Alligator mississippiensis: one gene and its partner. The protein of the gene in region 1 interacts with the protein of each later gene in a biochemical or structural test. Links are inferred from orthologs where the notes say so. Each region holds a gene or a part of one and is shown in the gene's direction. Other genes may lie near its edges.

Region 1 (7,173 bases):
ATGGTACTTATCTGTGGGACAAGAATGTATGTTGGTGTAGGCTGGGATTGAGAGGCAACTGATACGGTCAATATGTTCTGCTTTCAACATATGTGGCTTCCTATGTGGAAATTACTACTTCTAGAAGCAGAACACATTAAATTGTATATTGATGCTTCCCATTCAGAGGGGGGAAGTTCAGTATGCAGCCATGTTGGTGAAGCCAGCTGCTTCACAGTTTAAAATGGAGAAGGGAAAAGCAGTTGCAATACTCCTTGTGGGTTCTTGGGGTGCCTGGGACCTTTTGCCAATTGGGGGGTATTGCAGTGTTTCCTGCATACAGAAAACTGGACAACTTTCAGTCTAACTTAAGTTCAGTTTACATTAGGGAAAACAATAAAACAAGAAAGGACAAAAGTCCAAAGAAGATAACACAATGTCTCGGTCTTCCTTGTAACATGTTGAATCGTTTCAGAATAGGATGTTTCTTTCCACTGTGAATAGGCAGAATTCTTAAAGCGTACAGGTGCGGTGCACAGAAAACAATGTCACATGCTGCTTATACGGCTGCCTATAGATCAATAATTCACTGCTGGCGCCACACCCACTGGTGTAAGCCATAGACAGGGATCAGTTTGAGTATTCTTATCCTTGTGGTTTTTAAACCTTGTCCAGGCAAAAAAGGGACTTGTGAAAGCTTTTCATTATCCAAGTGGAGAATTATCATAATATTTCCAAGCATGGGCAAAACAGAGTAGAAGAAAAATTTGTTGGTTTTAAAAATTTCCTAGTTTTTAAATTGGGATGATTTTGGATTATTTTTTCTTCTCTTCCTGGTAAAACCTGCAGGAGGGAAAATATACAAGCCCAAATAATTCCAGTCTAATCAAATAAGATTTTTTTGAAGCTTAGAGCTATGTACAGTGCATTTTTAAAAGTATATTTTCATAGCCTCCACATAGGAATATATATTTTTTCCATAATATTTTAATTTGAAAACATTTATATTAATTGGGGTTTTAACAATTGGATGCTTACTCTTCAAATAATTCCCTGTAAGTGCAATGGTTTACCTATATAGAGGCAGTTCCAGAACTAGAACTTGGGGGAGAAAATCCACTAATTCATTGTAGTCCCATTTAATTTTATTGGGCTTCTAGATTATTTGCTTGCCATCACTCATAACTAGTCTGCTGTATGCCACATACACAAGCCACAGGTTGGCCACCCCTGTTTTATAACAAGAGTTCTGATCTTCTGGCTATTTCTTCCTAAGTAAAGCTTGTGTTCACACGGAACCCCTCTGGCATCATTGGGCTTCAGTGCAGACCCACTTAAAGGATGGGGGCCAAGGAATAAATCTGAAGCAAATCAGAAGCAAAAGTGACTGTTTTCCAACATTTACGTTAAAACCTGTGCTTTTAATAATGATTATGTATAAAGTTTTACTGAGATCATTTTGACAGCACAGGTATAATTAGCAAAATCAGTTTTCTTTTCTTCTAGGAATAACATGAATTAGTTTCAGCTTGAATATTTACTCTTTTTCTACATTAGAAAACCAGATCTTATTACTTTGGATAATGAAACTTGGTTTGTGGATTAGTCAACACAAAATCTGTGCTGACCAATGTTGCCTGATTTTTGTAAGTTGTAGGAAGTGGCCCAATATGTGGTGCTTTTAGTAAAGCCACAAATTTCAGAATTATGTGATTCCATGAAAATCTTAGCTGTTATTTTTAAAAAGGTTTTAAACTACTTGGTTGCAGAGAAAAGCTTCAAGAAACCTGTGTTCACCTTTATGGCTTGGATACCAAAGGCAGGTATGAAGAACACAATGGGCATGTCTACATGTGCATTAATGTGATTTTCCTAAAGCATATTAAATTTAGTACCTCCAATATGAGGTAATAAATAAATGTACATCAGGTTGTGCTAATGCATGGTAGTGCAAGCACACACATTTTAGGTGATGCTTAATGTGCACTAACCTATTTCAGGGGTTCCCAACCTTTTTATGCTGAGGATCGGCAAACAGTGGACTGGGAAACTGCGGACCAGCAGTGACTTGGCATACTGTGGGCAGGAAACAAACCCTTTTTTATACTCAGTATAAAAACTGGCTGCCAGTCCAGAGTATGCTAGTCACTTCCAGTCCGCAGTTGGCCAGTCTGCAGTTTGCTGGTCCGCAGTCACTTCTGGTCTGCAGCAGTCAACCTTCCTGCAGACCAGCAGCCAACCCTTTGCAGCCCAGTACCAGGCTGTGGCCCGGGGGTTGGGAACTGCTGGCCTATTTTACTGCACATTAGCTTACTAGCATGGTTTTTAAGTGCTGCTTCAATGCGCAGTAGAATAGGCTACAGCACATTAAAGTGCACATGTAGATGCTCTCGTTACATATTTATTTTTAAAGATTTTTTTTTTAAAGCCAGTATCACAATTCTTTGTGGGACAGACTCAGTGTATGCTTAATTTCAGTACCATGCTTAATGTCACTTGTCTCACACAAACCTGTAACAAGCTGTTTCATGCAGTCCCTGTTTCCTTTTGTGCATTCCAACAGCCCTGCCGCTGCCTCTGCTGAATTGAGGCTCTGGGTTTAACAGGACTGAACCAGTCTGAAAATGCTGCCATCAGTAATCAGCACTGCTGAAGGCAAATATTTAAAATAATACCATGTAGTATCAATCAGCCTGTACTTGAGGTTTGAATTAGAAGACTAACACTGTTCCCCACGCTTTACGAAATAAGCTCCCTCCACCAAAGTGAAAGAGCTTTCAGTGTACTATAATACCAGTTGTCTATGGATCTCCTCAGTCCCTATAATAATGACTTCCCTATTTACTGGAAGACTGTCATTCTGGTACTGAGGGACTGGTGCTGCTGAGGAGTCCCTGTACAGACAGCTCTTTGGTGGAGATGCAGTTTATATTGGAGAAAGTTCTTTTGCTGATATGGCTTAAGTGTGTTCCCTGATGGCAATAAGCTATAGCAGGAAAGGACTTTTTGTTAACATGCTGGTATTTACTGACATTGCTTTATCAGATTAGTGGCTTGCTTTTTTAATTTTAAGTAGCTACTCATAGACACTATGCTACTAAAACGTTGTCGTGTAAAGCAGGCCTTAGGGCTGTAAGGCAGTGCATCTGACCACATGAAAGCAGTTTCACTGGCATAAAGGTGCTTTGTGCTGGTAGAGGTATTGCTACCAAGACTGGAATGAGTAACCATTATAACAAGGCAAAGATTTGTTTGTTTTTTTGCGGGGGCGGGGGGGGGGTCATTCCATTGTTCATTGGGTCCAGGGCAGAGTTGGAGTACAGTTAGGCATGCTTTCCCTTTGAGGAGGGAGCAAGTGAACACAGGGAGCAGCGCAGGATCATCTTCATAAGGATATCTGTGTCAAGAACATCACCACAGCACTATTTCGAAAATAGGCGAGGTGTTTTCACAGAAAATGAGGGCTGGAAGGGACTGTAGGACGCCATCAAGTCCAACCCCTGCTCAAAGCTGGACATCTCCCAAGTCAATTAGCCCAGCCAAAGTTTTGTCTAGCCAGGTCTTCAAAACCTCCAAGGATGGAGACTCCACCACCTCTCTGGGGAACCTGTTCCAGTGCTTTCCTACCCTCGTAGTGGGAGAGTTTTCCCTAATATCCAACCTAAACTCCCCTTGCTGCAACTTGGGACCATTGCTCCTTGCTCCATCACCAGCCCCCGCTGAACCCAGCCGGGCTCCAACCTCGTGCCAGTGAACACTCGTGTGATCTCCCCAGCCCTGGGGCTGTCCTGATCTCTCGCTCACCCTCCAGGCTGCTGGTTGCAGCCTGCCTGAGGAGCAGAGGGCGGCGGGCAGCGCTGGAAGAGACCTCCCATGGGCAGTTGCGAGGGGGAGGGGCACAGTAGCGGTGAGACCCTCCTCCCTCCCCTACACCGCGCCCCCGACCGTCGGACGCTACCACTACCTGGGGGGAAGGAGGTAGGACACGACACCAGAGGGTACTACCATTGGCCGCGGGACGGGGGGCGGAGGGCACTACCATTGGCTGCGGAGGGTGGAGGGCACTACCATTGGCCGCGGGACGTGGAGGGCACTACCATTGGCTGCAGGGGGGTGGTAGGATTGTCTCCAGCCACTGCTGGCGTTAAGGCGGTGACACCTAATTGATTGCCAACATTTTTTTTTTTTTTTTTGCTCTGGAAAACAAGAGCGCGCCCCTCAGAGGCGCTGGTTGTGGGCAGAAGCGGAGCGCAGGACAGTCCCCCTCCTCCCTCGCCGGGTGTGTGGCGCGGGCAGCGTCCCACGCACGCGCACAGTAGCGCAGCCCTCCGCGCTCTGGAGCCCAGCGTTCTGGGGCTGCCGCTGGCCCGAGTCTCGGCTCCGTGGGGGAGGGGCCTGGACCCGGCGCGAGCCGCGGGGCGCGCAGTGCATTGTGGTCGCGCAGTGATTGCTGCGGGCGCGGGGCACGCCGGGAGCGGCGGCGGCGGCGGCGGTGAGAGTGCGGGTGAGGGGCCCGCGCCGCGGAGCGCCCCAGGGTAGCAGCAGCCGGAGCCGGGCCCGCGAGGACGAGGCGCGGGCGCCGCCATCCCCGCGCCCGGGGTATAAATGAGTGAGCGACGCGGCAGGAAGGGCAGGATCCCGCGGCTGCGACCCCAGCGCCCAGGAGCTGCGGCTGCTTCCCCCGCCCGGAGCCGCGGGCGAGGGCGGCGCTGAGGCGGCAGCGGACACGTTCCCCCGCCCATGGTCCCGGCGGCGCCGAGGGCTGGCAGCGGGGAGGAGAGGAGCTGAGGCCGGGCTGGTGCCTGGGGGACTCGGGGGCCCTGCTCTGCGCTCCGCCGCCTCTTGCTCCGGCTTGGGGCGCCGGGACGGATATTGCAGGGCGCTGGATGGCAGCTCCGCGCCGCTACAGGGGCTCGCGGCTCCTGCAGCGGCAGTAGGAGAGGAGAAAGCCGCGGGGGAGACCTGGTGCTGCCGAAACCCTGGGCCCACGGTGACGCCGCTTTGTTTCATCGACCAAGGTAAAGCAGCGAGCAGTGGGTGGCTGGCGCCTGCCTCAGATCAGCTTAAAAGCCCCAGTATAAAACAGTGCTGGTGCTTGGGACAGGCCTTCCCGGGGAGCTTCTCATTAATTCAGAAGTGCGGGCTCTGCTTGTCACAAATAAGTTTAACAACTGCCTTAGGAACTCCAATATTAGGAAGTAGGCACCGTACTTTCGTTAGGGATAGTTTAAAAGTTGCACGTGCAGCTTCATAAACCATCGTTTGTTCAGTTCCCGTGAGAAAAGTTGATGGCAGTTGACACTGTGGTACTGTTGGTTATGTATTTCGTTGCTTTTCAAATGCAGGAGGACAGAAACTTCCCTTGGTTCTGAAGTCTGGGTGGCCCAGGATTCAAACCAGGCTGTAAAATGTAGGATCCCTCCAGCATGAGGCCTTATGCTTTTGCCATTACTAAGCATGGTGGGGTGTACAACAACGATACTTCCAAGTTTATATTTTTATCATACTCTCTGCGTGTGTCTCAGTCCCTCTTTTTATATCTGACAGCTGCTGATGTAGCGTGCTGGCTAGCAGTCAAGTCCTGTTTGTTTAGTATTTAAGACCTTGAACAGCCTTTCTTTTCGTTTTCACTTTCTCCGGGTTGACCTCTTGGCTTTCCCTGTGGCTGCATCCGGGTGCAGAAATCCGCTGTTGCTAATTTTCATGCAGTAAAATTGTCCAATAGAGATTTTTGTGGCTTCGGTGGCAGCTGAAAGTAGTGCCTCTTCCCAGGATGGTGGAGTGCAGTATCAAGAGTTTGAAAGAAGTATGATATAGGCTTCAATATGTGTGGTTTGTGGGTTTTTTTGTTGTTGTTTTTGGGTTGAGGCGTGCTTAATACTGTTTAAAGGTCCAAACAACTTTTTAAACAAAGCACATGCATCCTTTATAAATTGGCATCAGAAATAGTGTGGTAGATGTGTAGCTTTTCAACAGAGTTGGCATTGGTAGGAAGTGATACTGTAACAAAACTGCAATAGTAATATTTTTCAAACCTAAGACACTGGTTTATATAGCCTTAAATCCAGTAAACTATAGATGTTTGGCTGTGTGCATAGGGTTAAGCTGTAGCAAGTCGGGATGTCCTATTTGTAGAGGGGGGAAATCCCCCACTCTGTATACATGCCCTTTTCAGAGTGACCAGTTTACTTCTGAATGAATGAGAATTATTTTCTCCCACTTTGAAAAACCTATCTTTTAATATTGTCCAACATACAACCCAGTTGTTTTTCCTGCAGCTGGCACAGGGGAATTTGTTTCAGGTTTGGTCTTAGGCTTTGCTTCTCTCTTCACATACAACATGGTGTCTTATCTAGGTTAGGTTAGCTTCTAGTATTGCTGTCACAGGTGGGATTAAACAGATGGTGTATTACAGATACACACGTATGTGGTGTAGATAAGATTCTTCAATAGTTTTTTTTTTTTTTTTTCATTTTATGTATCTTGTTTCAAGGGCCAAATCAGTTCCAAATTCACTTGGGCAAATCTCAAAAGCCAAGTTTCAAATTTCAACTGAGCAGAGCTCAGTCATTCAAGTCCATGTGGCTCTACCGCTGGGGAAGTATCTTCCTTCTCAGACGCGTCAGTCTGGGGCTTCGGATACTCCCCGAAACTCTGGCAGGCATCCTACATGCAAGCCCAGGGCCCAGAGACCCTGGGGTTCAGATGCCCCCTAGTCTTGTTTGCTCCTAACCAAAAGATCAAGGAGTGAGCCAGGAAAAGCAAGAAAGCAGTCCCACTTTCCTATGCAACTGTGTAGTCGAGTTTCCCACGTTTGGGAAAACTCTCGGGTAAGCCTGCCCAGAATGCAAGGGACAGGCCTCACTCTTGGGGGGGAAAAACATCATTGTATCTCCCTAGGCTTATGAACATTTTTGTTTTTGGATTTGTATTCTGTACTTTATTGCTAATAATTAATGGCCTGAATTTAATTTCTTAATTTCAAGATGATGTGTGAGGTGATGCCAACCATCAGTGAGGCAGAGATTCCCTCTGGGGGAAATGGAGGCCATGGTTCAAGCTCCCCGTTACAATCGGATGCTGATTCCCATTTTGAGCAGTTAATGGTGTCTATGCTGGAAGAGAGGGATCGTCTCCTGGAAACACTAAGAGAAACTCAAGAGACACTAGCTTTGACACAGGGCAAGCTACATG
Region 2 (7,265 bases), on another chromosome or scaffold:
TTAGAGACGGCTGCACGCAGGAGCCTGATATACCCCCCCAGGGTCCTCGTTACCGCCTTCCCCCCAGCTGCTAATTGCCCCATGCTCGTTTGTGCGAGACTGGCCCCGCGGGCCAAGGCTTGTTGTTGCTGGGAGGCTGTCGGGCTCCCGGGAGGGTGTTGGGGCTCCGACCTCTCCGTGGCCTGCAGCCAGCTGTGGCCACGGCCTCCTGCCCGTGCCCCGGGTCAACCACGTCCTGCCTGGCCCGGCTGCTTGCACCCGTGAGCCAGCTCCCCGCCCCGGGCATGGCTCCAGCAGCTGCAGCCATGCCAAGTGGGGGATCCCCCCCGCAGCCCTGGCCCCGCGCCCCGTCCCCACCACAACCTGCCCCTCAGCCAAGTCCTGGTCCCTGGCAAACCCGCAGCTGCCCCGGTCTCGGCCTGGCCCAGGGGCCTGCTCGGTGCCCGCCTGTGCCACCAGCGGCACAGGCCACGATGCACTGGCGAGAGTGGAGCTGATGCCGGGAGCAGCGCCTCCTGCTCGTCAGCGCCAGCGCGTTAATTAAATGCTCTCTGCTGCGACTGCTCACTCTTAATTGCTCTAATGAAAAGGGCTCCAATTAAGGAAAACACCCCTGGCGCACCCGGCAGCCGGTGCCACTGGCTCCCTGGGCCTGTGGGTTGTGATGGCAGGGGGCTCTGGGCAGGGGGGTCCTCTCCAGGCCATGTCAGGGCACAGGATGGCACAGGGCCTGTGGCTCCAGGAAACTGGGAATGGGCACTAGGACTTGGTGTCAATCCAGAGTCACTCCATTTACACCGGGGTGGAGTCTACGGGACTCAGGGGCCCCTGGCCTGCCGCTCAGCCCTGGCCCTGGCACCTGGCAGGCAGCATGGTGCCCATGTCCACCCAGTGCCCTGTGGGCAGTGGGCAAGGGGCTGTCGCCCCACTGTAGTGAAGCCAAACCCGCACCCCTGGGCCAGGGGCTCTGCGACCTGGTGCCAGGATGGAGACCAGCAACCATACCAGGGCAGGGACCAGCCGATTCCCCGTGGCTGAGGAGGGAGCAGATGCGGGCCTGGGAGCAGAGTAGGAGCCAACAGGCTGCAGGGCATGGCCTGGATCGTGGCTGGGGCCTGCCCTGTCACCGCCTGGCCCGGAGAAGCGGAGCGAGGAGGACAGATGCTGGCTCAGCAGCGCAGGGCCCACGCCAGCACCTGGCACATGGCTCTGGGGGCCGAATAACACCAGCAGTATCAGGCTGCAAGGCCGGGGGTGGCGTGGAGCGAGGGCAGTGGTTAGCAGACCATCCGTCACGAGAGGGGCGCAGCCGGGGGGCAGCAAGGGCTATGGAGGAGGCAGGGAGCCGACCCCGGGGGCTTCTGCGGCACAGGCGATGCAGGGGTCTGCTGGGGGCTCCTAGGGGCCTGGGGCCTGTGCTGGGCATGCCAGCACCCCCCTACTACCCCAGGATCCTCCCCATATGCTGGACAAACTCTGGTTTCTCTGCAGCGCTGAAAATGCCAGCCTTGGCCAAGCCGGCTACGGGCACCACCGGCTTCCCAGAGGGCACCAGTGGGCCTGGGTGCAGCAGGCACAGCCTGGAGGGCAGGTCATCCCCGAACTGACACGGAGGTGGTACGTGTGCTGCGCGCCCCGGCACCCGCTGGGTGGGAATCGGCTCTGATCTGCCTCCAGCCAGCCAGAGAGGCTGTGTGAAGCGGGCCCAGCCTGGGACACCCCCGCCCCGCTGTGCCCACTGCTCTCTGAGCCCTGCTGGGCCTGGCGGCAGGGAGGGCCGGCTGCCGGAGCCAGGGAGTCGGCCCAGAACCAGGGCCGCTGACGGCAGCAGAGGAAAGTGCTGACAAGGTGACCCGTGCAGAACCTGACACCCGCGGCACCTGCACCCGCCGCCCCCGGCTCTGCCAGCCCGGGGATGCTGCAGCTCGGCGGGCACGTGTCCCCACTGCACGGGGCTGAGCCCATCGCTGGGACAGCGCTGCTGGGGATCCCGGGGTGCCCAGAGCCCTTGGACAGGCTGGAGCGTCCCCCTGCTCTTGACAGGGACCCTGCCCCTCCCATGGCCTGCCCATGGCAGAGGGCAAGGGAATGGGGTCCTGGCCGCTCATCATCAGGCCCAGCCAGGCACCGAGCCCACTCCTCATCCCTCCCTGCCATGCCTGGGTACCCCCATCACCCCATCACCACGCAGGGGCCTGGACAGCTCATCCATCCCCCAGGAAGCTGTAGGGACCACGGCTCGATGCCAACCGGGCACTGCAAGCTGGTCTGAGCCCCGCGCTGGCAGTGTGAGAGGTGCTGAGCACTGGGGCCTGGTGGGCATGTGGCCTGGCCATGTGGGCCAGGCATGGCCCAGCACGGCACAGCACGGTGGGCCCTGGCATGCCATGCTCACCCCTCTCTGCTCGTGCCAGGAGGAGCTCAGCCCTGAGGCTCAGCCACCCCCTGGCATGGATGCTCACTTGGGGTGCTTGAACAGCTGCCTCTCTCTTGGAGACCCCCTGCCCTGCCCACATGCTGCTGGGGGATGGGGGCAGCCCAGCCCCAGCCTCCCCGGCCCTGGCAATGCCACGCGGCACCCGGGCGAGCGTGGCATCCGCAAGAAGCACTGTGTCCCCTGCCCCAGAACGGGGCTCTGCCTCCCTGGCCCCGCTACAAACCCAGAGGCACCACCGGGTCCCCGGCCAAGCACCCAGCGCCACGGGAACAACCCCCTGGCCCGACCTGCTCGGCGCTGCACGCACGTGGCTCGGCCTGTCCCGAGTCCCAGACCCCCGCACAGCCACACGCGCCCACGCCTGGCACAAGAAAGGCGGGTGTGGCCCAGGCAAAGAGGGACAGGAACCAGGCCTCGTGACAGCGCGCCGGAGCGCCATCCTGCCCGCCTGGGCACGGCTTGGGGGTGGCGTGGGAGCAGGTGCCCTTCCCCGCCCGCCACCCCCGCGCCAGCTGGGGATCCGGAGGGGGGTGGGGGGAGGCTGCGGGCCCCTGGGGGCACGGCGGGGCCGGGCCCCTCCCGGCCCGGCCCGGCCCGGCCCCGGCCCCGGCCCATCCCCGCGGGCACCCACCTGCTCGGCGGCCAGCTCGCGCTCCAGCTCGCGGGGCCGGTTGTGCCAGACCAGGCGGTGCAGCGGGAACCTGCCCGGGCCGCGGGGCCCGGAGGAGCCGCTCATGCTGCCGGCATGCCGGGCCGGGGCCGGGGCCGGGGCCGGGCGGGGCGCGGGGCGGCGGCGGCGGCGGCGGCGCGGGGGGAGCCCCGGGCGCCGGGCAGGGCGCGCAGCCCCCGGGCGGAGCCGGCGCGGAGCATCGCGGCGGGGCCCGGGCGGCTCTGCGGGGCCGGCTGGGACTTGTAGTCCCGCAACCGGGCGGGGCCGGGGGCTGCACCGCGCCGCTCCGCCCGGCCCCGGCTCCGGCTCCGGCTCCGACTCCGGCGCCGCCTCCCGCGGGCAGCGCCGTGCTGCGCCCCGGCTCGGGCAGCCTTGGCAGCGCCGTGCCCGGGCCGTGCCAGCACGCGGGGCGGGGCGGGGCGGGCGGGCGGGCGGGGCCGGGCCGGGGCATCCCCCGCCGCTGGCGCAGGGCGCGGGGCTCGGGGCGCGGGGCCAGGGGCAGCATCCTCGCGGCCGGGCCCCGTGCTGCAGCGGCAGCGGCCGGGAGGAGCCCTCTGCCCCGCGCAGGCTCTGCGGCATCCCCGGCGCTGTCGTGAGCCGCGAGCTGCGGGGGCTGCGGGCAGGGCCGGGCCGGCATGTCGCGGTGCTCACCCGGGCGACAGTAATCGCTGCGGGGCCCCTGGCCCTGCACCCACGGCCCGGCCCGGCGTGTCCCCCCACCCGCCCCGCGCGGGCGCTGCCCGGCCCCACCCCGACACCCCCGCGCGCCCCCCACGGCCCCCGGCGTCAAGTCACGCGCGCCCACGGCGCGTGGCAGGCGAGGGCTGCAGCCCCCGTGGCACTGCCAGGCCGTGCGCGGGCACGGCCGTGCCTCCTGCCACCCGCACCCGCAGCCGCCTCCCGCTCGGGGCCGGGCCGGGCCGGGCCGGCGGGACTGGGGCTGTGGGCAGGCGGGTGCGGGTGCGGGTGCGGGGCCCGCGGGCACGGCTGGGCGAGGCGAGGCGGGGCGGTGCTGTGCGGTGCGGTGCGGTGCGGGGCCGGCCCGCCGCAGCCCCCCCCGCCGGCCGGGGCGGAGCCGGGATCGGGGCCGGGCCGGGCGGCTCCTCCTCCGGCGGGGCCGGGCTTGCGCCGTTTCCTGCAGGAGCCGAGCCCGAGCCCGCAGCTCCCGGCCCTCGGCCCGGCCCGGCCCGGCCCCGCGCGCCCGCCCGCCCGCACCATGTCCCGCAAGGCGCCGCGGGCGGAGGTGTGCGCCGACTGCAGCGCCCCAGGTAGGGCCCGGCCCGCCCCGCCCGCAGCCCCCGCCGCAGCCGCAGGAGCGGGGCGGGTCCGCCTGCGTGCCGGGCACCGCCGTGCCTGCCCGCTCCCCGCCAGCCCTGGGGCCCCCAGCCACCCCGCACCCACCCCGCCACCGGTAAGGGACGTGCCCGCGGCCGCGCGGGCAGGCGGTGGCAGAGCGCGGCCCCGGGCAGGAAGGCGGGGCCTGCCCTGGGGAGCACCGCACAGCTCCTGGCACCGCACGGGCACGGGCACGGGCACTGACCCTGGTCACCTGCCGCCAGGCCATGGCCCGTGGGAGCAGCTGCCCACGGGCAGGAGCAGGTTGGCCGGGGGCGGAGGCCCCGCTTCTCGCCCGCCGCAGAGCAGAGCCGTCTGTGCCCGGCGGCCTCCCGTGGGCAGCCGCGCAGAGGCACAGATGCAGCCGCGTCACTGCCAAGCGCGCTCGCGCCCGCGCCATCTGTGTGCCCGCCCTGTGCCAGCCGCACGCCCCGAGCCCATCGCCTCCAGTCCCGAGAGCGCCGGTGCCCAGGGTGCCAGGGCAAGGTGGCGCAGCGGGTGCCCACGGCTCAGGGCCAGGGTGAATGCCTCTGTGGCCCCATAGCCTGTGCCCTGTATCCGAAGCCCAGCTGCTCCCCCTTTGCCCGCGCGCCCATCCAGAGTCGCTCTGTCCGGTTCCCAGCAGGAAGGAAGCGCGGGGAGGGCCTGGTCCCCGCCCCGGCTAGGCTTCCTCTGCAGGGCTCAGAGGCCAGCGATGCTGAGGCCTGTGCCAGCCCCCCCAGGTGCTACCATGCCACCCAGGCCCCGAGTCCTTGAGGAACCCAGGCATCCTCAACAGGGAGCTGGCCCGTGCGTGGGCTGGGGCTGGGCAAGGCCCTCGGGCAATGCCAGGGTTGCATCGGCCCCATGGGTGCCTGGCCTCCGCGGCTCCCAGATGCCCAGCGGCTGCTCACGGATCGGGGGGCCCTGCTCCATCCCAGCCCCAGGCCTGCACTCAGCACCATGCGGAGCCACCTGCCCCCTGGCATCAGGGCTGTGGGGTGGGAGCGAGGGCACCGGGTGGCGGGGGACCTGGGGCTGGGGCTGGCCGAGCCGTGGGGCAGCCCTGGGCTGGGGAGGGGGAGGCCACGTCTTGCCTGGGCCTGCGCGGGGCCCTGCGGCTGCAGGAAAGAAACCTTGACCTGTTTTCCTGCGGCTCCGGCAGCTGAGCCAGGCCTGCGGCGCCTCGGCCTTTGCTTTGCTAATTGGGTGGTTTGAACTTTGCAGGCAGCGTTTGCACAATGGGCCTCGCGCCCAGAGCTCCTCTCCTCGGGGCGGGGGGCAGGGAGGGGGCAGGGGGCTGTGGCCCGGGGGGCCTCCAGGCTGACACCTCCGTATGACGCCAGGGGTTGGGGTGAGGGGCATCGGCAGGGCTGGGGGGCTGCTGGTCGGAAGCGAGGGGCACCCGCTGGGATGGGGGGCTGCGGGGCAAGAGCGAGGGGCACTGCAAGGCCTGGGGGGCAGCAAGCCAGGAGTGAGGGGCACCACAAAGCCTCAGGGGCCATGGGTTGGGGGTGAGGGCAACTGCAAGGCTCGGGGGGCACAGGTTGGGGGTGAGGGCACCACAAGACATGGGGGGCTGCGGGTCGGGAGTGAGGGGCACCGACAGGGCTGGGGGGGCTCCAGGCAGGCCGATGCCCGGGCTGGGGGAGCGGAGCCGCGCTCCGGCCAGGGCAGCACCAGCTCCGGCTGCAGCACAAAGCGCCCGTTCTCCCCGTGACCTTTCCACTGCGGCGGCTGGGCCGGGCCGTGCGGCTGGCGTGTGCCCGGGGGCTCCCCCACAGCGAGGCCCATGCTGCACCCCAGTCCAGCGCGTGGGGCGGCCGCTGCGCCGGACGCTGGCGAGGCCGGAGCGGAGCCGTGCCCGGGGGCACCGGCCGCCCTCCCCCTCCCCGGAGCCGAGTGCTCGCGTCTCAAACGGCCCTTTGTTCTCCGAGTGCCAGAGCGAGGACAAAGGCTCGGGGCTGGCGCTGGGGGGGCTGGGCCGGACTGGGGGGCAGCGAGGCCAGGCCGGGCTGCGGGGCAGGTGGGTGAGGGGCAGCTGGCACTGGCACGGGGCCGTTGCAGCTGGGCTGGGAGCCGCTGGGCCCGAGACCCTGGGGGTGCCGGCTGGGCAGGGGGCTACTTCCCGCTCCCCCAGGGGCACGGGGCTGGTGCCCCTCAGGGCCAGGCATCGCCCCCGCACGTGCCCGCCCCAAGCTGGCGGCCCCCGGGAATGGGCGCAGCATCGTCCTGGGCACAGATTGAGGCTGCCCCCCCTGCGGGGTACTCCTCCCCAGCACCCCCGTGCCAGGTTGCTACGGGAACCTCTAGGTTTCCCTAGTTACAGCGCCGCAACTCCAGGGCCTGGTGGTTTCCATAGCAACCATGCCCAAAACCGTGGGGGGACCCAGAATGGGCACGGGGCCGGGGGATGCTGGGTGGCCCCCGGGGCCCTGACGCCCGCCTGCCCCGCAGACCCCGGCTGGGCCTCCATCAACCGGGGCGTGCTGATCTGCGACGAGTGCTGCAGCGTGCACCGCAGCCTGGGCCGCCACATCTCCATCGTCAAGCACCTGCGCCACAGCCCCTGGCCCCCCACCCTGCTGCAGGTGGGTCGCGCCCCCCCAAGCGCGCGCGGGGCCGGCGGGGCGTGAGCGGGCGCCCCCCCGAGCCCCTGGCCCCCGCCCGGCTCTGACTCGCCCGTGTCCCCGCAGATGGTGCACACGCTGGCCAGCAACGGGGCCAACTCCATCTGGGAGCACTCGCTGCTGGACCCGGCGCAGGTGCAGAGCGGGCGGCGCAAGGCCAACCCCCAGGACAAAGTGCAGTGAGTGCCCGGTGGCACGGGGCGGGGAGGGGGCC

The links. The genes of interacting proteins can lie anywhere in the genome.
Region 2: the proteins of PPFIA1 (region 1) and GIT1 form a complex in vitro, tested with the Homo sapiens proteins (2 studies listed by BioGRID). The link is inferred for Alligator mississippiensis from reciprocal best matches to the Homo sapiens genes PPFIA1 and GIT1.

The regions. Positions count from the first base shown.
Region 1 is NC_081825.1:215,795,180-215,802,352, forward strand, and holds the start of PPFIA1 (liprin-alpha-1), read left to right. Parts: upstream 1-4,161; 5' UTR 4,162-4,997; intron 4,998-6,965; coding exon 6,966-7,173. UniProt on the Homo sapiens protein: May regulate the disassembly of focal adhesions. May localize receptor-like tyrosine phosphatases type 2A at specific sites on the plasma membrane, possibly regulating their interaction with the extracellular environment and their association with substrates.
Region 2 is NC_081837.1:1,503,994-1,511,258, reverse strand, and holds the start of GIT1 (ARF GTPase-activating protein GIT1), read left to right. Parts: upstream 1-4,247; 5' UTR 4,248-4,323; coding exon 4,324-4,375; intron 4,376-6,878; coding exon 6,879-7,012; intron 7,013-7,117; coding exon 7,118-7,230; intron 7,231-7,265. Other genes in the region: ANKRD13B (ankyrin repeat domain-containing protein 13B), read right to left, coding at 3,069-3,173. UniProt on the Homo sapiens protein: GTPase-activating protein for ADP ribosylation factor family members, including ARF1.